3 linked regions of the Cricetulus griseus genome follow. The protein of the gene in region 2 interacts with the protein of the main gene of each other region in a pairwise test. Links are inferred from orthologs where the notes say so. Each region holds a gene or a part of one and is shown on either strand. Other genes may lie near its edges.

Region 1 (8,293 bases), on a different chromosome or scaffold from region 2:
GAAATTAGATAGTGAGGGTCTTGAAGGATGAGACGTTTTGCTGTTATCATGGAGTACATAGGAGACACTGAAGGTGCTTCAGTGTGGTTGTGACTTAAGGAGTAAGGCATCCAAGGATGCCTGTCTGACATTAGACATTAGGTAGAAGGGGAGGGGACGGCCACGAATCAAGAGCCCCTGTGGGGAAGGCGTCTCCTGGAGACAGATGACTTGTTCAAGTCCTGCCTTCATGGGGAGATGTCTGATTGCCTCATGTCAGGTGGTAACATGAGGAAAGGGCAGAATTCCAGACCAGAGAGTCTTAAGCCTCCGTCTTTTATGCCCAGACTCCGGCTGTCCGGCTGCCTGCCAGCTGCGTGTCCACCTACCATAGCTATGGAAAAGGAGAACACAGCCTCTCCTGGCTTCCCCATTATCCTGCTGGAGTCAAAGGCATCAGGTTCACCCTTGCTGCCCTGGCAGCTGGTGCATCCTGGCAGGGACTTCCACACTGTGCTGGTGGAGGTGGGATGCTGAACTAGACAGCCACTACTTGGCTGTGTGGCTTTTGGTGGAGAGCTGCTTCAGCTCAGGCAGGGCCAAGACAGACATGGAACCTGAACCCATGGCATGTTAATGCTCTCTGTTGTAATTTGGTTTCAGTTGCTATGATGGAATACCCAAAGCTGGATTGCTTATGAGTAACAGAAGGTTCTGAAAGCTGGAAGGTGCAAGATCTAGGGGGTGAACCAGGTGAGGGTTTGTGCTGTGTCATAATGTGTTGGAGAATATCACTTGGAAAGGGAGAGAGACAGGGGATGGGGAGAGGGAGCGGGGAAGGGAGAGCATGGGGCAAACTGATCTTTCCATTAGGAAGTCCCTCCTATAATAAACTAAATACCCCTGCTGGGGTAGAGCCCTCATGACCTAAATCACTTCTAAAGGCTCTTGTCTCTGCTGACACATGAACAAACTTGTGTCACCCCCGACAAGGGCATCAGTGACAGACTAAAGCAATGGCTCCATTCAAGTCCAGCTTGGCAACCCAACGAGTTCATTGGGTTTAGTTACAGAGCACAGGTAAGAGGGCCACTTACAGGGGTTCAGGTGACCCCCCCCCCACAGCTGTATCACTGTGAAGTCTCCCCACACCCTAACTGACCACTTCTCTGTAAGTGCATAGATGGAACACCCTTCAGAGAGCCTTCCACATCGATGGACCCTAATACCTCCCGAGACTAGGGTCTCACCACCCTCTCCTTCTGTGAGGGGAATGACAACAGGCCTGATTTTGAGGGTGGCAAGTGGTCACAAGTTGCTCTGATGAGGATGGTAGTGGTTGTTATCCTTAGAGAACAGCATTTCACACCAGCCGCACCTCACCACACCACTGCCCTGGGAAGGAGTTCACAAAGCAGAGACCTTTGGGGACGAACATTCACGCTACATGACCCAGCTTAGCGTAGATAGCGGTAGCTCACGTTCCCCTCTTGGGATCCTAAGATCCTTCATCCTATAGCCTAAGGTCTCAAAAGAGTTGAGCCAGGCCGGCAGGAAGGGAATAACCATGGCTGGTGATGGAGAAGGATGGAGAAAGGGGAGGGAGCATCACAAAGCCATGTGGGCATCTCCTATTCAGTGCAGGCTGATGTTCTTGCCAGGAGTCTGTGTGTACGCATCATTTTGACCTCTTTTTTTTTAATAAAATGGTACCAGGGATTGAACCTAGGGCCTCCTGCATGCTAGGTAGGCTTCCTATCACTTCTTTGTATCCCCTCTTGTGTGTGTGTTTACATGTGTGTGGGTATTTGTCTACATATGTGCCCATGCGTGTAGAGGCCAGAGGTTAATGCTAGGTGTCTTTGCCCATCTCTTCTCACCTCCTGAGGTGAGGCAGGGTCTCTTGCTGAACTCAGAGCTCATGGTGTTTCTAGTCAGCCTAGCCAGCTTGCTCTGGGTATTCTGTGGATGGGGTCACAGGAGGCTACAATGCCCACTCTTCTTTTCCATGGGTCCTGAGGGTCTAAACTTGTTCCTTCCACTTCTGCAGCAAACACTTTACTCTGAGTTGTCTTTTAGCTCCCTCCAGCAGCCCTTTAATACTTTTTAAATTATTTGAGGCAGGATCTCATTAATTTGCCATTAGGAATTGGAATGGCCCCTGAGTTTGGCCTATAACTCCAAACCTGGCAATTTCTGATTTGTTTTTATGAGTGTTAAAGGCCCAAGAAAGTGGGAGAATTCACCCAAGGGGAGAATTCCCAGCATCCACTCTGTTCCCATGGTAACAGAGGTGGGCTGCTCTAGGCTAGGCAGCTCAGAGATGGGGAGGAAGGATGGGGTGGGCCTGAAAGTCACTGAGCTGCTGTTGGTGACACAGACCTGGGATACACACAGGAGAATGGAGACCCTGGAAAATACCTGTTCCCCACTTGGGTGTGACCTTCAGGGACAAAACTCTGCCACTGAGTGACTAGTGGGAGCTATGGCCAAGCACCATGGGGGAAGGGTCATGAGAGACCCTCATTCAGTTTCCTGGTGCCCCACCCCAGATATAAGCCTATCTGAGCTAGAAGGAACACACTCACTCACACACACACACACACACACACACACACACACACACACACACACACACACACATTTTAAAGACAAACTCTTAATGTGCTCATTTTTATGCTCAGGTGTTCTCTGATTTACATAGGCACAGAACTGACTGTGGAGGAATTGCTTGAGATCAGCCACAGCTGTATACACTCATCCTGGTTGCTTCAGTGTGTGGTATGTCTAAAATAGGCAGGGATTAATTATTATGATTATTATTATTAGACACAGTCTGTCTATATAGCCTAGGCTGGCACAGAACTTAAAGAAATCACCCCACTGTTCCTCCCCCACTACTGGGATCACAGGTATGTGCCATCATGCCTGGCTGGAATCATTCTTAACACACCAAAAATTTTAAGCCAGGTGTGGTGATCCATACCTGTAATTTTAACACTTGGAAGGTAGAAGCAGGTGGAATCAGGAGTTCAAGGTTATCCTTGGCTGCATAGCAATTTTGGGACTAGCCTGGTCTACATGAGACCCCATCTCAAAAAATAAAACAGAAAAAAGCTGAGAGTAACAACCAAAGCAGTTTAAGAGGATGGAGCAGGATTTCAAACAGAACCTTGGTTAAAATTATGTGCGTGTGGACTTAGACAGGAAGAGCTAAATTGGGGGTGTCTTTCATGAAGGTACCATCTCTGGGTGGTCAGGCTTAGGCTGAGCTCCTCTGCTTGTTTCAAATCCCCCCTTCCTCATTTTGAAATGAATAAGTGGCAATGGATTAATTTATTCTCTCTTGACTTTTCTCCTGTAATAAGATGAATTGTAAAGAGACATGAGCATTGTCCACAGAAGTGAGGAGCCACTTCCTCCCCTCCCTAGATAACCCAAGCAAGAAGAAGGTCTCAGAACTAAGCAAAGGCCTGGAGGTGACAGAATCACACTGCAGCCAGTTCCAGCAGGCACACAGCTTTGCCAGTGTGGTCATCTGCATCAAACTTTGGATAAAGGGACTCCTGTCTACACACAAGGGATGCAGCTGGAAGGTCATGGTTCTTGGATGGGGGTATCTCTGGGACCATCAATCTGCAGGCATCATTGCATGCTAGGTTGTGAGATACAGAGATGAATGTGATAGTACTGGTGGACAGTATGCAAATGAGGCTCTTCCCAGAGACCTGGGTTGGAATCCTAGCTCGAACTCTTCCTTGCTGTGCAGCTTTCAGCTAGTTATATCATATCACCTCTCTGAGCTTTAGCCCAGCCCTCAGTAAGGATGGTGGAGATGTGATCACCTCTGCAGGGGGCTGTTACCAGCCTCAGATGGGCCATGTACAGCAAGCCTTGCCCCCATGGAGTGATGGCTGACATAGATGCCCTGTAGAGGCCAAGTCCTATGTCCTCCTTTGGGCCTCTTATAATAGCCATACCTGGTGAGACAGAACTGTCAGAAGAGTATCCACACGGTATCCTCACAGTAAGGTAATAACGATGACTCGGACTTGTGTCTGTGGATTCTCAGAGACAACCAGCACAGCATTCCACTCACCTTGAGAGGAAAGGGGTCATCATTCCTATTTTACAACACAGGATGTGGAGGGCCAAAGAGGCTGTGGCGTCTGTCCAAGGCCACACAGCTAGAATGTGACGGAGAGGTGTGTGAGGCTAGGCCTGGCTTTCCTTGGCCACAAAACTAGATTCCCCTTTGCCTGATATATCCCAACATAGGTTGGTTCAGAGTGCTAGGGGGACACAGACTCAAGAACATGGTAATGGAGATAATAAATCTAGGGTGGCTTCTGTGAGGTGGGGACATTTACACTGGGCTTTGACATATCCAACGGCATGTGCTGGGCGCCATGTTAGGCAGATGTATGGGTTCAGAAGACAATGGCTGATACAGTTTGGCTCTGGTATGTTCCCAGGGGTCATGTGTTGAGGCTTGGTCTCCAGAGCAGAGCTACTGGGAAATGATGGAATCTGTTTTTATCCTACTTGTAGGTTTCATTATGATATTTTTATTTTAATTGAAAATTCAACAATGTATTCTGATCACAATTTCCCCTACCTCATGTCCTCCCAGATCCTTTCTGCCTCCCCACCTATCCAACTCCATGCCTTTCTCTCCTTTTAGAAAACAAACAGGCAAAAACAAAAACAGAATAAAAAAAAGAGGAAGCATAAGAAATACACACACAGACAAAACCCATAACTACACAAAATCAGAAACCATAGTACAAAAGTAAAAGACCTGTAGTATAAAAAGGTGCTCAAAGCAATATGAAACAAAAAAATCTATAAAAATATTGTTGAGTTTGTTTTGTGTTGGCCATCCACTTCTGGGCATGGGGTCTGCCCTTAAGTGTGGCTTAAATACCCAGTGAGACTATTTTAGGAAAGTGACTTTTTCCTTTGCGAGTAGTTGTCAATTGGAGACAGCTTCTTGATTAGGGATGGGAGATTGCATCCACCTCCCCCTCTCATTCTGGGATCCCATCTGTCTTGAGGCTGTGCAGGCCCTGTGCACACTGCCACAGTCTCCATGAGTTCATATGTGCGTCAGTCCTCTTGTGTCTGGAAGACACAGTTTCCGTGATGTCATCCATTCCCTCTGGCGCTTACAATCTTTCTGCTCCTCTTCCGCATAGCTCCCTGAGCCCTGAGGGGAGAGGTTTGATGAATACATTCCATTTAGGAACGAGTGCTCCAAAGTCGCTCATTCTCTGTGTGCTGTCCAGCTGTGGGTCTCTGAATTTGCGCCCATCTACTGCAAGGGATGATGGCTGAGTGAGACACTGATCTATGGGCATAGCACTATGTCATTAGGAGTCGTTTTATTGCTATGCTCCTTTAGGAAAACAATAGTATTTGGTTTTCCCTTAAATCTACAGTCTATCTAGTCTCAGGTTCTTGTCAACATTTGCAGTGTCAGGCATTGGTTTCGTTTCATGGAGTGGGCCTTAAATCCAAGCAGATGGTGGTTGGATACTCCATTGCTGCATTGTTTTATGCAGGCAGGACACCATTATAGATTGCAGGGTTTGTAGCTGGGTTGATGTTTACCTGTCTCCCCTGGTAGCATGTAGAGTACCTTCCAGTACAATGAACACTAGTCAGAAGGGGTGAAAGCTGTAGTATATATATATATGTGTGTGTGTGTGTGTGTATTGTTTTTTTAGTAAAATAAAGAGCTGTATCATTAATTTGTGCAAAGCAGTCAGTAGCCTGAGCAACATCTTAAGTTGTTTAGGGGTTTCTATGGGTTCCTTTGGTCAACAACTCAGTTAGATGTAACCCATTTCTGGCACTGGATGTTTCACTTGGTGGCAAAAGATGTTCAGCTGGGACATCATCTTCCTTGTTATTTTCCAAGTCGATTTAGATTTATTTCAGATATGTATATATTTTAAGACACTTCCACAGTGGTAGGTTTATATATAACCCTTCTTGTGGCCCTTAGTGTAAGTTATCCCTCCGGGTATTCTTTCCCTTATCCCCCATCTTCCTTCTGCTCTCCACTTAACCCTTCTGTTCTAGTCTTCCCAGTGTGTTTCTACAACTATATATTCTAGGGAAATGATGGACCCTGATGGAACCTTTAAGGGGTGGGTTTAGAGGGAGGAAGCTAGGTCACTGGGGATATGCCTATGGAGACTGATAGGTGATAATTCCCACCTTGACAGGGTGTAGAATCACCATAGAGACAAGTCTCCAGGCACATCTGTGAGCAATTATCTAGATTAGGTTAGCCACTCTCAATGTGGGTGGCACCATCTCATAGGCTGGGGTCCCGGCATGAATAAAAAGGAAACTCGATAGCTGAGCATCAGCCTTCATAGTTGTTCACGGACTGCCGCTGCAGTGTAAGCAGCTGTCTTGCGCTCTGCTGCCATGCCTGCCTCACCACGTGGACTGTAACTGTGAATTGTGAATCAAGAGGAATCTGTCTTTCCTTAAGTTGCTTTTGTCAGGTGTCTTGCCAGAGCAATGAGTAAAATAACAGGCACGTAGGGACAGTGGGCCCTTAACCTCTCCTCCCTGCTCTTTTGCAAGCATTGCATGACCCCCACCAGTGTGTCCTGCCTTGCCACAGCTCAGATGCAACGGGGGCAACCAAACATAGGTTACAACGTCTGAAGCTATGAACCTAAATGAACCTTTTTTTCATATAAGACGATTAATTCAGGTATTGGGTCATAGTGACAGAAAACGCATGGGCACAGTGACTGTCCCCATGAAGGCTATAGACTCATTTGTGGCGGTAGGACTTGCATAGAGACTGGTCCCTGTCTCCTAGGACAGGGGTCTAAGTTGATTAAAATCACCAATAGGGGCCAGGAAAATCGTTCAGCGGACACAGACTTGCTTCACAAGCATGAGGACCTGCGTTCAGTCACCAGAACCCATGTGAAGCTGCTGAGCATGTAGGCTCTCTGGGCCAGTCTATCCTAATTGGTGCTCTCCAGGCCAGTGAGAGGCCATGTGTCAAAGGAGGTAGATGGCATTCCTGAAGATGGCATCCGGGGTTGTCCTCTGGTCTCTGAATATCCCCACACATATATGCACCTGCACACATGTACATTGTCTCCCATAGTATAAAACCAACCATCAGTATGCCAGTTGACTGAGTGTATTTGTATGTGAGGTATGTGTATGCGTTCTAAAATATGTATCTGGGATATACATATGTATATGTAAAATATATGTATACACACACACACACACACACACACACACACACACATATATATATATATATATATATATATATATATACATACCAAGTTTTATTTGTGGTTTTAAAAATATTTAAAAGTATCCTTGGGAAGACAACCATTTGTGGAGCTTCCAACAGGGTCTCCAGGGGCAGCAATGGGCTGGCTGAATTCTCCTGGCAGCTTACACCCTTATAGTTCTTGTACCTCCTCCAGGTATGAGGAAATGATTCATTCAGGTCAAGGGCAGGTCAAGGGACTTGACTGAAGTCACTAGACTACTAAGTGGATAGGATAGGACATGAGACTCCTAGGTTTGACTGTTCTACATTTGGTCTCTGGGCCAGGCTGAGAACATGGAGGGGCTATAATAAGGACCCTGGTGTGAATGCAAAGAGATGTTCCAACTCCACTCACACATCCCATCTCCTTAGGAGCCACTGTGGAGAAGGACTTGAGCTCTTATCTCTGTACTTGGTAACCCAAGGTCTTGGCTTGTCATGCCCTGTGCCTGGCTTCAGTTCCTCAGCTGTAAGAGGAAGTGATGACACCTCATACATCCTGAGAATGCTGGGGATATATCAAAGCCTGTGTGCCCACCAAATCCTGTAGGTCCCCTGTCTTGCCCCGTGGCTGCTACTCTGTGGATCAGGCTTGCTTTGTCTGTATCCAGGGAGCCCAGCACTGTTTGTTGCAGCCTCTGACTGGCAAACCCTTGACCCAAACTGTTGCTCAACGCGATCCTGATCATATGAGCCTTTGCGCCAGAACTCAGGTCCCCCGAGTCCCCGTGGCCTGATCCTAAGATGTTGGGTTCTGTGCATGTGGCAATCATTGCTTCACATGGTGGCTGCTCTTCTTGCAATGGGTATGGAGCTGGCCAGGAGCTGGTGTCCATGTGCCCTGTGTCCCAAGTGGGTTGCTCTGCTGAAGAATTGCTAAACACTGCCTGTGACCCTGGCATCATTCAGAGCGTTCAGGCCAGGGTGGGGGATATACGCACTTCCCAGGATCTGACATGGGTAGGGGGTACAGGACATGTGACCTTC
Region 2 (7,171 bases):
AAACAAAAATCAAATCAAGAGGCTTGTCTTGTAGACCCATTTGGTCTCCAGTTTGTGGCAATTTTCCTGCCTCAGGCTCAGGAGTGCTAGGCTGACTGGAGTGAGCCACCACACGAGGCTCCTTGTCTGTTTTTCAAATGAAAGAGGACCATATGAGCCTTCCTTTTTTTTGTTTTTGATACTGTTGTTTATCGAATATTATTTTATGGCCAACAAGATAGCTCAGCAGATAAAGGTATCTGGCACCAAGCCTGATGACCCAAGTTCAAGCCTCAGGACCTGCATGGCGGAAGGAGAGAACACCCCCAAGTTGTCCATTGACCTACACACACACACACACAGAGATACAGACACACACACAGAGATACACACACAGACACACACACACACACACAAACACAGAGACACACAGACAAATACACAGACACACATACAGACACACACACACACAGACACAGACACACAGACACACAGACAGACAGACAGACACACACACACACACACACACACACACACACAGAGACACACAGACAGATACACAGACACACATACAGACACACACACACAGACACAGACACACACACACACACAGACACAGACACACAGACACACACACAGAGACACACACACAGAGACAGACAGACACACAGACACAGACACAGACACACACACAGACACAGACACACACACAGAGACAGACACACACACAGACACAGACACACACAGAGACACACACACAGACACACACACAGACACACACACAGACACACACACAGACACACACAGCATAACATGTGCATGCCCAAACATACACACATGCACACATACAAAATAAAATTTTAATGTAGTAAAAGAGACTAAATTGTTTGTTTTGCTTTTCAAGATGGTTTCTCTGTGTAGCCCTGGCTGTCATTACTTGCTTTGTAGGCCAGGCTGGCCTTAACTCAGAGATCCACCTCCCTCTGCCTCCCAAGTGCTGGGATTGAAGGCATTCAAGACCATGCCCAGCTTGAGACTAAATATTTCGATATAATTAAAATTATCCCAGTCTGTAACTAAAGAGGAGCCATCACTGCCTCAAGGAAGAGTAGAGATGCAGAATGTCCCTAGGACCTGGCACTGCTCTCCAGGGAACTGGCCAAAGCTGATCAGAAAACAGAAGAGCTTGCTTTGAGTCCTGTCGAATGTTCTGTGTGCAGATGACTTAAAACTACGGGACTCCTATGGGAGAAACATCGCTTCCTCCACCCTTCTCCTGCCTTCTTGTGCACTGTTTACACTCGCAGGGGGGTCTTCTCCCAAACGCACTCTTAGTTTTCTCCTAGGCAGGCCACGGTTTTTCGGCCGTGCAGCGCAGCTCGGCTCTTCCCACAAACATTTCCTTGTTACCCTGACACACCCATTCTCTCCCGGCTCAGAATGGCCTCAAACTCAGAGTCCCCAGAGCCTCATGGACGTCAGGGTCCCCAAGGGAAGGGGCGCGTTCTCGAAGCCCCGCCCTCCGTGCCGGAAGTCACCTGTGGCAGGTGAAAACCCTCGAAGAGGGCATCGCGGTTACCCCAGTTACGGCCACTTCCCACAGCTAAGCCCCAACGTGTCCATCCACCGTCCAGACTGAGTAAAAGCACAGCACACTTTCTTCCGCAAGAATTTCCCACTCCTTGCCGGGTCCCCCAGGGAAACCCCCACCCATCAGTGTAAACAGCCTGGGTCTCAACACCGTCGCCTACGGGTGTCCAAGGCCGTGGGGAGACCCCGTCCCCGCCCGGTCCACGAGGGCGCCAGGTCCCACGGCGGACTTCCTGCGTCGGGGATTAGGAGGCACAAAGGGCGGGCAGGGAGAGCGCCCAGATGGCAGAGGTGAGCGCTGAGCCGCCAAGGTAAGGCGCTCCTCCGGACGCCGGGTCACGGGGAGCGCAGCCGCCCGGCTCTGCGTCCGGGGGCCTCGCTCGAGGGTCCGGGACCGGGTGTCCGCTCACGGTGCCCCCGCACCCAGCCGGGCCAGACACCTGTTCCCTGCTCCCGAAAGCCAACGCGATTGTGCAAACCCGAGTCCCAAGTTTGGCAATCCGTGTGGCGAAACAGGAAAAGACAAGTTCTCAGAGCCACTTTCTACAGGTGCCTTTTCTCCGGGACGAGCCAACGTCGGAGATCCGGGCGAGCAGGGCAGACCTGGGCGCTGCCTTCTCCGACCCGCCCGGGGAAGCCCAGGGGACGCGGATCCCCGCGCCGCGCCGCCCCCAATGGTCCGCGCCCCCGAGGGCCGCGTAAAGCCAGGTAGGCTCACCTGCACTCGCGGGCCGGGCCCTGCCCGAGGCCTCGGCGTTCCTCGGCGCCCGTCACCCGCCGCTCCGGTTCCCGGCGCCGGCCCACGGGCTGCAGGGCGGCCGTCTCCTTCCTGCTCACCTCCGGCGCGGCGAGCGGGGGGCGGAGCCGCCTCGATTTACATATAGGGCGAGCCTGCTGAGCCAGCGCCCCGCCCCCGGCCCCACCCCCTAGGCTGAGCCGACCGGGCGGGGGCGCCGCCTGGGAGCCCTGGAGGGCGGGGGCCGCGCTCTGGCCAATCGAGGCCCCAGCAGCGCGGGCGGGGCAGCAGCGAGGAGGCGCACCTAGTGCCGTCAGCTCCACCCCGCCCTCACCTGCGCACACCTGGTCACACGTCTGCACACTGCTGCCAGGGTCCCACCACCTCCTGGAAGAGGAAGTAGTCCCTGGGTACTCTCCAGGATGGAAAGGTTCCTCCCGCAGCTGTCCAGCTACGTGGCATCCTCAAAAGAGCGTTTCTAACTAGACTGACCGGCAGGTGCACGGTTCAGACCCAAGAGTAGGCGGGATGGGAAGGAAGGCTTAGAGTCAAGACGCCTACCCACGGCTGGGAGCCCCCACTTCCGTCTTCAGAGAGGTGGACTGGTGCCCGGAGATCCACTGCAGCTAGGCTAGTTTTTAGTCCAAGCTAGGGACAGGCTTGGAGTAACACGGGGAAGGAACCTCTGAGTGGCTAGGGTCCAATCCAAACCAACATGGGACTCTCAGCCACCACCCAGTTGCACTCAAGTTAGGACAAACAGGACATCCTCGGGCATCCCTCAGCCCAACACCTCGGTGTTCAAAGTCATGGCCATGCTCTCCCACGGGCTCTCTCCTCCCCCCAGAGTGGGCAAATCAGGAATGAGGGGAAGGGTCAGTCCAGTAAGTAGATCCAACCACAGCAGAAAATATCTCTTTTAATGGCTTTGGCTTTATGGCACGAAGCAGGCACCCCCGTTTAAAGGCACAGAGTCCTCTTCTGCCCCATTTCCTGGGCCTCTGAAATCAAGTCCTGAGTTTCAAGGGGGTCACTGTCAGGCAAGAGGGCATGGGGCAAGGCTTCACTCCCCTACAAACAGCAGATCCCCAGAGCTGTAGACCACATTGGCCTAGGCAGTTCCAGGCCCGAGTCCTGTACAGGAGTCAGCCGACGTGGTCCCTGAGAGTAGTCCAAGTCCCCCAGAAAAGGCCAATCCCCAGAGCTGTGTATTCAGTGCTCCAGATCCCTGGGCAGTGTGAAGTCTCTGAAGCTATAGAAGGAGATGTCACCATGATCCACCAGGGCAAAGATGAGGGGAACATCCCCACTCTGGTAGGTCAACCGCTTGAGGCTGCAGAGGTCTGGGACAGGCTCATCAAATCTGTAGGAATAAACATTAAACTGAGACATAGCCATAGCCCAACCACGGCCCCCTGAGTGTAAGCCAAGAAGGCTGTAAGACAAAAGCTAGGGATACTGGCCCCTGGGCTCTGCTGTCTACAAACTCCATGGCTTTGATGGGCTCTTCAGGAGAGCCTGAGTAGAGGACAGCAGGTATGGGCTGTCAGCACCCTTAGCCAGGAAACCCCTCACATCATTCCCTCCTGCTGAGTGAGCCCAGGACTAAAGAGCAGATGCCAGTAACAAGGAGCCGAGGGTTTGGAAGCTTGGGTTCCTATGGCACCAACTGGCCACATGGCCTTAGATAGGTGGCCCTTAATCTTCAGGACTTCAGATCCTTCTCGGGAGCTGGCAAAATGGTGGCAGGGATCAAGGGGTGGGCTGGCGGCAGCCAGAGGTACTCTGCTCCATCATCTCGTACCCACTAACGCACATTCGGACATAGGGTTTGCCAGGGTTGTTTTTTCGGAACGTAGCCACAGCATCAGCCTGGTAAACGTCGAAGCTGATCTCCAAGCCTCTGGACTTCTCCAGCAGCCTGAGGACCAAATAAGAAATGTTACGACAAGGACAGTCTTCTCTCACCTCCCTCTACACCAAACCCTTTCCTACGACCAGTTCTACAAAACAGCCTCACCAGGGATATAGCCACCACCTTGTCACTCTTCCTTTCCCCTAGACGCACATGACAGTAGCTGCCACTGGAAGCTAAGTATGTGGGCAGGTGTCCCTGGGGTGATCCTCAGACTCACACCCAACTCCAGGCATCAAACCCCAGCTGTCGCTCTACCTGGCAGCCAATGTCACGGAGACAGTGAGCACAGCTGAGACTCACCCATAACCTCCATCAGGAAGGTGTGTTGTCTGCAGCACAGAGATGTGTTGAAGGACCGTGGCTACAAGGGCAGTGAAAGCAAGATGCAGAGAACGGGAGTCAACTTCCTACACATTCCTGTGATACTGCCAAGTCTGCTAATCAGGTTAGGGCCACCAGATTTACCAGGTGTTTAGTTTAAGGTATGCCCCATACAGTAGCAGTATTTAGAACACACTTACCTGGTAACCCTACTCTACTCACCTCCCAATCTACCATGTTCCCATGATGCCTTTGGAGAGCTCTGAACCTGGCACTACACTTAGCTCAGGCCACATACTCAGCTCCTTGTGTTTAAACACTGAGCTTTCCTCTTACTTGGCTGAAAACTCTGGTGCCACCATGTTCCTGCTAACAGGCTGCGAAGGGGACGGGCCCATAGCTGGCGGCTGGCAAAGCCATCCAGCATTCTTGGGTATGATCTTAAGGATGCAGGTACAATCTTCATCCCCCACAAGTGTCACTGGGTAACAAATCATCAGAAAACCTTCCCCTAGGGCTCTTCTGGGACCTACAGAAGAGTCTGTGTTGGGCCCACTTGACTGCCGTCTTCTCCTCTCATACCTTAGGCCTCAGCCAACCCTGGTCAAAACATCCTTTTCAAGTCTTATGATCCCAGGGGCCTATGGGTATAGCAGGGGGCGGGGAGAGATACCTGGGGAATCTGCTTTATCAGGGTTGAGCAAGGGAGTAACAGACTGGCCCCAAAGGTGTGGAGGGCGGGGCTGGCTCTTCTGCAACTGTCGCCTCTGCAGCAGCTCCTTGTACTCCCGCCAGCTGGAGCAGCCCTGCACCTCGGGATCTGCGTTCACATCCTCCCGGAACTGCTGGACCGATGCTTGCTGGTCCCGGTCTCTCCGGGAAAGCTTCTCCTTCCGCTGGTTCAGCTTTTGGCACCAGGACTCAGCATCTGTCCCTCGCCCAATGACATTGGCCGGGAGCAGCTCTGGGGCTGGGGCAGGCAGGAGGGTGTGGCGGCTATCTGAAGCCATGTTGGGGAAGGAGATCTGCTCAAAGTTCCAGCGTGCCTTAGGAGCCCCCTTGGCTCCATTCTGGATTGTGTCATTCTCTTGGCCACACCCCACATCCTCCCTAGACAGAGCAGGGCAAGGCTCTGAAGACCCCTGAATCTGAAAGGAGAGTCCTGAGCCCTTCCTGGGGCTTGACTCCTGGGGCTTCTCTGGGTACTGGTTATTCTGGTCACAGGCAGGTGGACTGGAGGCTGCCAGACTCATGGGTGGCAGGGAATTCTGCAGGGCCTTAGCCTTCTTATTAACAGACCTTAGAGACACAGGGAGGAAAAGCAGCATGTTTGTCCCTGGCTACAGTTTCACTGGAATTGAGGTGGACCCCCTGCTGTCTCCCCAAGCCTGTGAGAACATTCCAGTCTCCTTTGGGGAGAGGGGCAACAACAGGGGAAATTACCGACAGCTGGAACTCCTCTTCCTCTTGCCAGTCCCGTCCTCCAGGCATTGGGCATAGCCGTCCAAGTTAAGCTGCTTCTCATAAGGTGACAGGACAGAGCTGTGGGAGAGAACAGCAGGCAGGCAACAGATCCCCTCTCAGACTGGTGCTGCCTGAGGGGCTTGGGAGGGAGTGGCCAAGAGGCCGGTCAGAGGCCAAAGGCAGATCCATACCCAAAGGAAGGGTACCTGGGAACAGCCACAAGGGCCTAGTCACCCATTTGCCCAGGTCCCCTGAGTATCACCAATATCACCTCTGACCACATACTCCTAAAGAGCTGGCAATGCATGACTAATCAGGCTAGGAGTTCGGAGGTGTGTGGCCCTGGCTACACCCCAGTGCTACAGGAAACAAGTCAATCTTCAATCACTGGGGAGAAAAACCAAGAGGCAATAGAAAACTTGGAAAATACAGAAAAAAACAAAGATGAAAACAAACACCTTGAGCCAGACAGTGGTGGTGCATGCCTCTAATCCCAGCACTCAGGAGGCAGAGGTAGGTAGGTCTCTGATTTCGAGACCAGCCTGGTCTACAATATCAAGTTCCAGGATATCAGGGCTACATAGAAAAACTCTGCCTCGGAAAAAAAAAAAAAAAAACAAATCAAAACAAAACAAAAACCTTGGATTTCCACAGGTGACATTTTCCTTTCTTTTTTGTTTATTTGGGGTGTTTGTTTGTTTGTTTGAGACAGTGTCTCTGTGTGGCCCTGGCTGCCCTAGCACTCGACATGCAGTGCGTTTTCATTTCTTGCACATACTACTGTTTCTCTGTATGGTTTTGTTTTGTTTCCTGCCAGAGCTGACATGATACTATCACACTACTCTAAAATATCCCCCCCCTCACTAAGACATTGTCGGCTCAGACCCTTGTCACTTATCTTTACAGCATTCTTCCCTGCTGTGAGGAATGGGGGAGGAGTGTGTGATAGAGGGGGAGAGAGGGGGAGGAGAGGAGATAGAGAGAGAAAGAGGGAGAGAGAGAGAGAGAATAGCAGAGGACAGGAGAGCCTTGGGTATTATTCCTTGGGAGCTGTCTATCACGTTTTTTTGAGGTGGGGTCTCTAGTTGGCTTGAAGCTCACTGACTGGACCCGGCTGCCTCTGCCTCCCCAGTGCTGAGAATACAAAGACAAACACCCGTCTT
Region 3 (8,228 bases), on a different chromosome or scaffold from region 2:
CTCAGAAAGGTTCTCCTCTGTTCCCTCAGCAGTGCTGACACTCAGGAGATGGTGTACCATATCTCTGCCAGGGGTGACAGGTACTAACTTGAGCTGATTGTCTTCCTGAGACATGCCCAGAGGTAAACAGGAGTCTGGGATGGTTGGTGCCCCAACTTTGTAGATTTTCACATCAGAAAATTTGACATTGAAGGCATGGGGATAGAAACAGCCTCGGAATCCATAGAAATACTCACGGATACGCTCATCCCTACATTCCCGCCGGAAGTCCTTGGAGCGTTCTACCACGCCCCCTGATTTTGGAAGCAACACAGTTCGAACAAAATGAGGCAGGTCCCTTTTCAATTCGTTGTACAGTCGTTCTTGATCCAGAACCACAACCACGTCCACTTCAAAGGCGGAAGCTGCATGCACCAGGGCCTGGTAACCAGAGCTCTTGACCCAACCACAGGTGTTAATGACACAGCCACTCACAGAAGCCCTTCTGTTCACTTCACACCTTTGGTTGAACACATCGGCTAAACGTGATGTAATCTGGAAAAGAATCAAAATGAGAACAAAAAAACAGATAAATTTGCCTATATTATTTACTTGTTTTTATTTTACATGCACTGATTTAGTGTTTTGCCTGCATGGATGTCCGTGAGGGTGTCAGATTCTCTGGAACTGAAGTTACAAACAGTTCTAAACTGTCATGTGGGCAGTGGTGGCAAACACCTTTAATCCCAGCACTCTAGAGTTAGAGGCAGCCTGAACTCCGAGTTCAAGGCCAAACTGGTCTAGAGAGCAAGTTCCAGGACTGACAGGGCTAGAGAAACCCTGTCTCGAAAAACCCAAATAAATAAATAAAGTATAAAAATCCTTAGTTTCCTAGGGGAAAAAAAAAAGAATAGGGCCACAAAAAGTGTAGCAGTCTGAGGCTGGCTTAAGTTTACAAGGGTTTCTTCTAAATTCAAAGCAATTAACTAGGGGCAAAAATTCTTCAGTTTTTTTTTTTTTGTTGTTGTTGTTTTGTTTTTTCGAGACAAGGTTTCTCTGTGTAGCTTTGGAGCCTATCCTGGCACTCACTCTGGAGACCAGGCTGGCCTGGAACTCACAGAGATCCACCTGCCTCTGCCTCCCAGTGCTACCCTACTTCCTACCCTGATTTAATTTTTCCCTCTACCCCATCTTAGCTCCAGCTCTGACCTTATTATAAAGCTTGATGTTGGTGCCAGGAGTGGTGGAGCCAAAATGATATACAAGAGGGGCCTGGATGGAGAAACCTTCTTCCACATCTGCCGGCCGTTCAATATAGAGGGCTCCCATGGTACCAGGGATGGACACAGAGCCCTGACCCACATCCAGCTCCACATAGGTAGGGCGGCGGCCCAAACGCACTGCATAGTTGAGTAGCAGTCGACACACTGTGGACTTGCCCACATCAGTAGGACCCACTACCATCACTCGGGGGCCTCTCTCTTCTTCCTTTTCTGCCTGCCTCCGCATCTGCTCCAAGGCTGTATGAGTGTTGAGGTAAAGCAACATAGGGGTGTCCTTAGAGACATAAGCCACCTCGGTCCGGCCACTCAGTTGCAGAGAACAGCCATGCCAAGTGAAAACAGCCACCTTGGCACCAGCATCAAAGGTGAATTTCTTGTTTCTGGTAAGCTCTGTGCCAAAGATCTCTGCCATGCCAGCCAACAATTCCAGTTGAACTGACTGAGATGCTTCCACCTCAAATCGAAGCTCTGTTTCTCGCTCTAGTTCAAATTTAGTTGTTGGCTTCTTGTCATCATTGGATTCCTCACTCATTTTTTCTGTATAGCTGCTGTGCCTAGAACCCAAATTAAACATTAGATTAAATCATTACATAAGGCCATTGCTATGCAACAATCTTTGCACACTGTAAATATGTATTATTCTCATTGTTAATAAGGGAGAATGCTGGGAATAGGAAGGGCAGAGTCAGAGGAGTCACAAGGAGCCAGAAGCACAATGAGTTAGACACACAAAATGGGGTAGGGGTAAAAGCCATGAGCCTTGGGACAGCACACAGATTAACAGAAATGGGTTAAGTTGTAAGATCTAGTTAGTAACAAGCCTGAGCTATCGGCCAAGCATTTATAATTAATATTAAGCTTCTTTGTGTTTATTTGGGAGCTGCTGATGGGACAAAAACTTCTGCCAACAAATGGCACAAACATCTAGGGTCACTTACATTCACATAAAGCCTGAAAAAGCTTCTTTAAAAAGGTGCTAAACATGCTGGGCGATGGTGGCACATGCCTTTAACCAAAAAAAATTTTTTTAAAAAAGAAAATACAAGACAGTCGGTTATTGTGTTGTCTTTGAATTTTTTGCCTCCTTAAGAGACACTGGATTATGAAAACTGCTAGATTCAACATATATATATATATATTGCTATATATATATATATATATATATATATATATATATATATATATTGGTTGAATCTATATCTATCTATATCTATATATCTATAGGAATAGGAAGGGCAGAGTCAGAGGAGTCACAAGGAGCCAGAAGCACAATGAGTTAGACACACAAAATGGGGAGGGGTAAAAGCCATGAGCCTTGGGACAACACACAGATTAACAGAAATGGGTTAAATTGTAAGAGCTAGTTAATAACAAGCCTGAGCTATCGGCCAATATATATATATCGGTTTTTCGAGACAGGGTGTCTCTGTGGCTTTGGAGGCTGTCCTAGAACTAGCTCTTGTAGATCAGGCTGGTGTGAAACTCAGAGATCCGCCTGCCTCTGCCTCCCAAGTGCTGGGATTAAAGGCGTGTGCCACCACCACCCAGCCAATGTATTTTAAAGAACTATGCCCAAATTCCCAAAAGATGGGCTATTTATTATCATTTAAGGGAGGTTGGTTACAAGCTGTTATTTGTAATGGTCAGGAAAAAAGCTGAACAAAGGAGATTAGATTGAAAGATCTCTTTCTGAAAGGGGGAGATTATTGAATCCTTTTTTTTTTTTTTTTTTTCGGAGACAGGGTTTCTCTGTGTAGCTTTGGAGCCTACCCTGGCACTCGCTCTTGTAGACCAGGCTGGTCTGGAACTCACAGAGATCCGCCTGCCTCTGCCTCCCAAGTGCTGGGATTAAAGGCGTGTGCCACCAACGCCCGGCTATTGAATCTACTTTTAAACCAAAAAAGCAACTGCTAGTCTTAAATATTTTACATTGGTATGGATTTTTTAATATCGATACAAATTTAAAGTTAATTTTTGTTATACTATATGTATGTTTCTACTCGTTTGGGTTATTGTGTTTATACAACTCATTAAAAATGCAAACCAGCCTGTCTCAAAAAACAAAACAAAACAAAAGAAAAGTAATGTATAATTTAAAAAATACAGATTAATAGTCATCTATAATAGTCAGGCCATCGTTCAAAATCTTCCATTGGTTTCATCCCTTTATCTTTTTTCTGCGGAGTTCTTATTGCCTTCCGACTCGCTGGGTTTTGTTTGCGGGTCTCCCCACAATTAGAAGGTAGAGGTGTTTTTGTTTGCTACTCTATCTCTAGTAGATAGAACAGCAGTGCACCTCAACAGAAAACTGAGTGAATGAATGACTAGGTTATAATAAAAATGTAACTAACAGGAAACTTACTGCGTTGTCTTCCTTCCATCACCCTATCGGGAAAGAAATAACAGATGCCCTCTCTCCAACTCTCAGCCAAAAAAAAAACTAGACTCTGAATAGTGTGCAAAGTACAGCACACAGGGTTCGGACTAAGAAAACAGTTGTATGTCAAGCTCTGAAACTCCAATAGCTACTTTAATTCAATCAACACCTCAACAAACTCATCAGCTGTCATTTGGTGGGAATTTACACGTCCTCACCTAACAGTGCTGTTAACAGCTACCACAGTAGGAAAAACAAAATGAAACACCGTAAATTAGGCGCTAGCAAAGAAACGTTAGTTACTCTGATTCTAAACCGCACTTCCAGGTCCAGTATTTGTCGCAGTTAGTTCCAACACAGAAATCTGCCAAGGCCTCGCAGAACTGAATTGGGGTCCTTACCTGCACAACCACAGGTCCTAAATCAGGGTAGCAGAAGCCTTCGGACAGGACTCCAGCACAACGACCACTTAGAGAGCAGCCGGAAAGCAAATGCGGTTCCGCTCTTGCGCGATGGGAGGAAGCGCGGTCGCGTAATGCCTCTTGGGACATGTAGTTGGGCTGAGTGAGCGCGCGTCGACGCTCAGCCCTCTGGAAGTTGTAGTTCGAGAATTGTGCCGTGACGCGCGAGGTGGGCGGGGCAACGCCGTCACTTTGTGCGGGAAGACCGCTGGAGGCGGAGAGGAGGCGTTGCTGGTGCGCCCACGCGCGGAAGGCATTTACATGGTCTCTCCCCATCTGCTGTCCAGGAAAGCTAAGGGCTACCAGAAAGGGGAGAGGCCTCTCTGTCTGGATCCTCTGCTCGCCTAGACCACAAGCCAGAAAGTGGGGAAGTTAGCAAAACCTAGCGTAAGCAGGAGACCTAGGCAGAGGGAAATAGAAACAGTCCCCCTTTGAGGCTACACAGAGCTGACAACCTCTGCCTGTCGGTGCCGAACATAGAGAAGGAACCAAGTGTAAATTGTTTTTTACCCCACCCCCACCCCACCCCGGTTCAACTGTAGCCCAGACTAGCCAATCCCGGACTCGCGGTGATTTCTCCTGCCTCCTAAATGCTGGAATTTACAGATTTGAGTCACCAAACCAGGATGTCTGTTGGGTTTTTTTGGGTTTTGTTTGTTTGTTTGTTTTTCCCCTTTAGTAAAGGTAGAATAAAAGCCCAGTGGTTTTTTTCCCATTAAATTTTTTTTTGGTTTTTCGAGGCAGGGATCCGCCTGCCTCTGCCTCCCGAGTGCTGGGATTAAAGGCGTGCGCCACCAACGCCCAGCTCCCATTAAACTTATAAACCAGTCATTATCCATCAACCTCTTCCAGATTCTGGATTGTTTCTCTATGTAAATCAGACAGTTACACAAGGTCAATCATTTACACACTGCTAACTGGTTCCACCATGTCTATAATACACTTTTCATGAGCATGGCCTTTGGAATCTTGTATGGTTGGCTCACTGCTTGACTGGATAAATCACAGGCTTCTTTCCCTGAAATGTCTCTTGTCTGTAAAATGGGAATAATAACAGTATTCAACCTCTTAAAGTTGTTTTGAAGATTGGATGAGATACATGTAAAGCACTAAGCACATTGCCTATAATATAGCAAGTATCTGATGTTAACCTTTAATTTTATTATAGGCTAGAGAGACTATAATAATCTCATCTATTCATATACCATGCTTTTACATTTTTCCAGTTCCTCCAGGTGTCTTATGTCACAACACCCTCAAAAACAGGTAGGTATATTATCTCCAGTTTCATTTGGGGAGGAAGATAAGAGGCATTTGCCCATTTAGTTATTAGTAGAGATCCACCTACTTTTGCCTCCAGAGTGCTGGGTTTTAAAGAGTGCACCACTAGGAGGCTTAGAGGTCGGTTTTTTGATGATTAATTTCATTTGTCAATTTGATTGGATTAGTAAACACTTTGGACACCAATGGGGCACATTTTGGGGTGTGTCTGTGAAAAGATTCCAGAAAAATGTAACAGAAGAGGAAAGATTCACCCTGAATGTGGGCAGCCCCATTCCAGGGGCTGGGGTCCTGGACTGAGTCAGAAGAGGAAAAGGAAAAAGCCACCTAAGCACCAGCATTCCACTTTGTCTGCTTCCTGATCTGCCCAAATGTGAGCAAGGTTTCAACACCACAGCTGCAAATTGTTTCTACTGCTGATCCTTCCCTGTGCTGATGGACTCCATCTCCTGAACCACGTGTCCAAATAAAAACCTCTTTCAGTTGCTTTTTGTCAAGTATTTGATTATAGCAATGAGAAAGATAACTAAAACAGATCCAAACCAAGAACTTAGGGAGCTGGATCAACTTATAACAGGCAAACAATTACATAGTGTGAGCTGTTAGGGCTTGTTCCATGGCTGCACAGGTGCAAAGGGCATGCATTCATTGAACTCCAGCTAGAACCCTGTGCAGTAGTTATAACCATCACTCCCATTTTACAGCTACTGTTTTTCTTCCTTCTAACTTTCTCTTTTTTGTTACTGTTGTTTTGATTTTCAAGACAGGGTTTCTTGTGTAGCCTTGGCTGTCCTTGAACTCACTTGGTCCTAGACCAACCTGGAATGGAACTTAAAGAGATCCATCTTTCTCAGCTGGAACTAAAGGCATGTGCCACCACTGGCTCACTGACTTTTTTTTTTAAGATTTATGTGTACAAGTGTTGTGCCTATATGTGGACCACACTCATGCTTCATGCTAGTAGAGGTCAGAAGACATGTCGAATCTCCTGGAAATGGAGTTAAGGACTGTTGTGAGCAGCCCTGTGCTGGAAATCAATGGACCTCTACAAGTGCAGCAAATGCCCGTAACCCATCCCATGAGCCATCTCTCCAACCACCCCCCCATACTGTTTTGTTGTTGTTTTGGTTTTTGTATTTCAGGGGGCTTCTCTGTGTAACAGCTCTGGCTGTCCTGGAACTTGGTCTGTAGACCAGGCTGTCCTCAAACTCACAGAGATCCACCTGCCTCTGCTTTCTGGGATTAAAGGCATGTGCCACCACCACCCAGCATATTTTATGTATATGATTGTTTTGCTGGCATGTATGTATGCGCATCACATGCATTCTTGATCCCCCTCCTAGGTCAGAAGACATCAGATCTCCTGGAACTACAGTTATAGCCACTTTGCTCTCGACAGCCAAGCCATCTTTTCAGATCCCTGTTTGGTTTGTTTTTGTTGTTGTTGTTGTTTTGTTTTGTTTGAAACAGGGTTTCACTGTGTTGTGTAGGCCTGGCTGTCCTGGATCTCACTCTGTAGGCCAGGCTGGCCTCAAACTGGAGACCTGCTGCCTTAATGCAAGTGAATACTTTCCTCATTCTAGCCCACCTGATGAATTTAGACTGAGAGTGTAGGGTAGCTTTCTGGTCTACCTTTTTCTTACTGGTCCTATTTAATACTGTTTTCAGGCAGGTGAGGTGTTACCTCTCAGTTTTCTTCAGGGATTTGCTTTAGTTATTTCATTCATTCACCATGAAACATTAGCTTTTCAATGAGCTATTGGTCTGATCCTTTACCACTCTTCAGAATTTTAGCATTAGACTTCCATTAGCAAACTTCTAACCTCCCAAAGGAACTCATCCTCTTTCTCTGGAACTCATTCTCCTGAGTCTTCTTTGCCACCACACACTCCCTTAAGGCAATGTCTCCCAGTTACCTGAAGGTCATCTTTATTTGGATATTGTGTAACCATCTTAAGCTGAATTTAGGAAGAGCCCTCTCCTCCCTTTTCAATCACTCTCCACTTCACTGCTTAAAAACAGGACAGAGCATAGAAAGCACCCATGCTTGCCCACTCTGTCTTCTCATTCCCCGTCTCATTAGGCACTCTTGCCATCTCTAGCCCACCCCCAAATCATTCTGTCATGTGTCCTATTCCTTCTGTCCAGATAAATCTTTGATCGTTTTGTTCCTTTGTTGATTTCAATTTATGAATATCCTTTTTGTTTCCAGCTTTAAATCCACGCCCTAAAGACCTTTCCTGTTTTTTTTTTTTTTTTTTTCCTTAAGATTGGATGGATCTTCAAATTCATCCTCCCTCTTTTTTGTTTGCTTGCTTGGTTGTTTTTCGAGAAAGGGTTCCTCAGTAGCTTTGGAGCTTGTCCTGGCACTTACTCTGTAGACCAGGCTGGCCTCTGCCTCCTGCCACCACCGCTCAGCTTGAGGTTTCTCTTTATTCCTGATCTTACCATGAAGCACAGACTGGCCTGGAATTTGCAGTCCTTCTGCTTTCAGCCTCATTGCCCCATGTAGAGAATGCTGTTCTGAAATAATACTAACTCTAACAAAACTCAATTTAAATGCTAACTTAAAAAGTTAACAAAAAAGAGGGAACAAAAGAAAATTACATTACTCTTTACTCAGTGCCTATTGTGTGTTAGGCACTCCTTTAGAAATTTACATGCTATCTCACACAGTCACTCCTCATGGAGATGAGGTAAATATTATTAGCTTCACTGAGCAGAAGAGGATCTGTATGGCGCAGAAAGATTAGTCACTTGCCCGTGGTTCCTGGTGAATAATTGGCAGAGCTAAGATTTCAACTCAGGAGTCCTTAAGATCAAAGCCAGATACTTGGCCAGTGTCTG

Evidence for each region.
Region 1: the proteins of Tsen54 (region 2) and Tsen2 interact in a two-hybrid assay, tested with the Homo sapiens proteins (2 studies listed by BioGRID and IntAct). The two-hybrid records come from large-scale screens. The link is inferred for Cricetulus griseus from reciprocal best matches to the Homo sapiens genes TSEN54 and TSEN2.
Region 3: the proteins of Tsen54 (region 2) and Clp1 interact in binary tests that used the Homo sapiens proteins (3 or more experiments, as listed by UniProt). The link is inferred for Cricetulus griseus from reciprocal best matches to the Homo sapiens genes TSEN54 and CLP1.

Annotation. Positions count from the first base shown.
Region 1 is NC_048601.1:29,320,929-29,329,221, forward strand, and holds the start of Tsen2 (tRNA-splicing endonuclease subunit Sen2), read right to left. Parts: upstream 4,167-8,293; 5' UTR 4,079-4,166; intron 1-4,078.
Region 2 is NC_048600.1:128,405,336-128,412,506, reverse strand, and holds the end of Tsen54 (tRNA-splicing endonuclease subunit Sen54), read right to left. Parts: intron 6,087-7,171; coding exon 5,988-6,086; intron 5,844-5,987; coding exon 5,218-5,843; intron 4,585-5,217; coding exon 4,524-4,584; intron 4,227-4,523; coding exon 4,110-4,226; intron 3,669-4,109; coding exon 3,518-3,668; 3' UTR 3,205-3,517; downstream 1-3,204.
Region 3 is NC_048599.1:90,798,557-90,806,784, reverse strand, and holds the start of Clp1 (polyribonucleotide 5'-hydroxyl-kinase Clp1), read right to left. Parts: upstream 4,167-8,228; 5' UTR 4,041-4,166; intron 1,817-4,040; 5' UTR 1,795-1,816; coding exon 1,189-1,794; intron 535-1,188; coding exon 1-534. UniProt on the Homo sapiens protein: Polynucleotide kinase that can phosphorylate the 5'-hydroxyl groups of double-stranded RNA (dsRNA), single-stranded RNA (ssRNA), double-stranded DNA (dsDNA) and double-stranded DNA:RNA hybrids. dsRNA is phosphorylated more efficiently than dsDNA, and the RNA component of a DNA:RNA hybrid is phosphorylated more efficiently than the DNA component.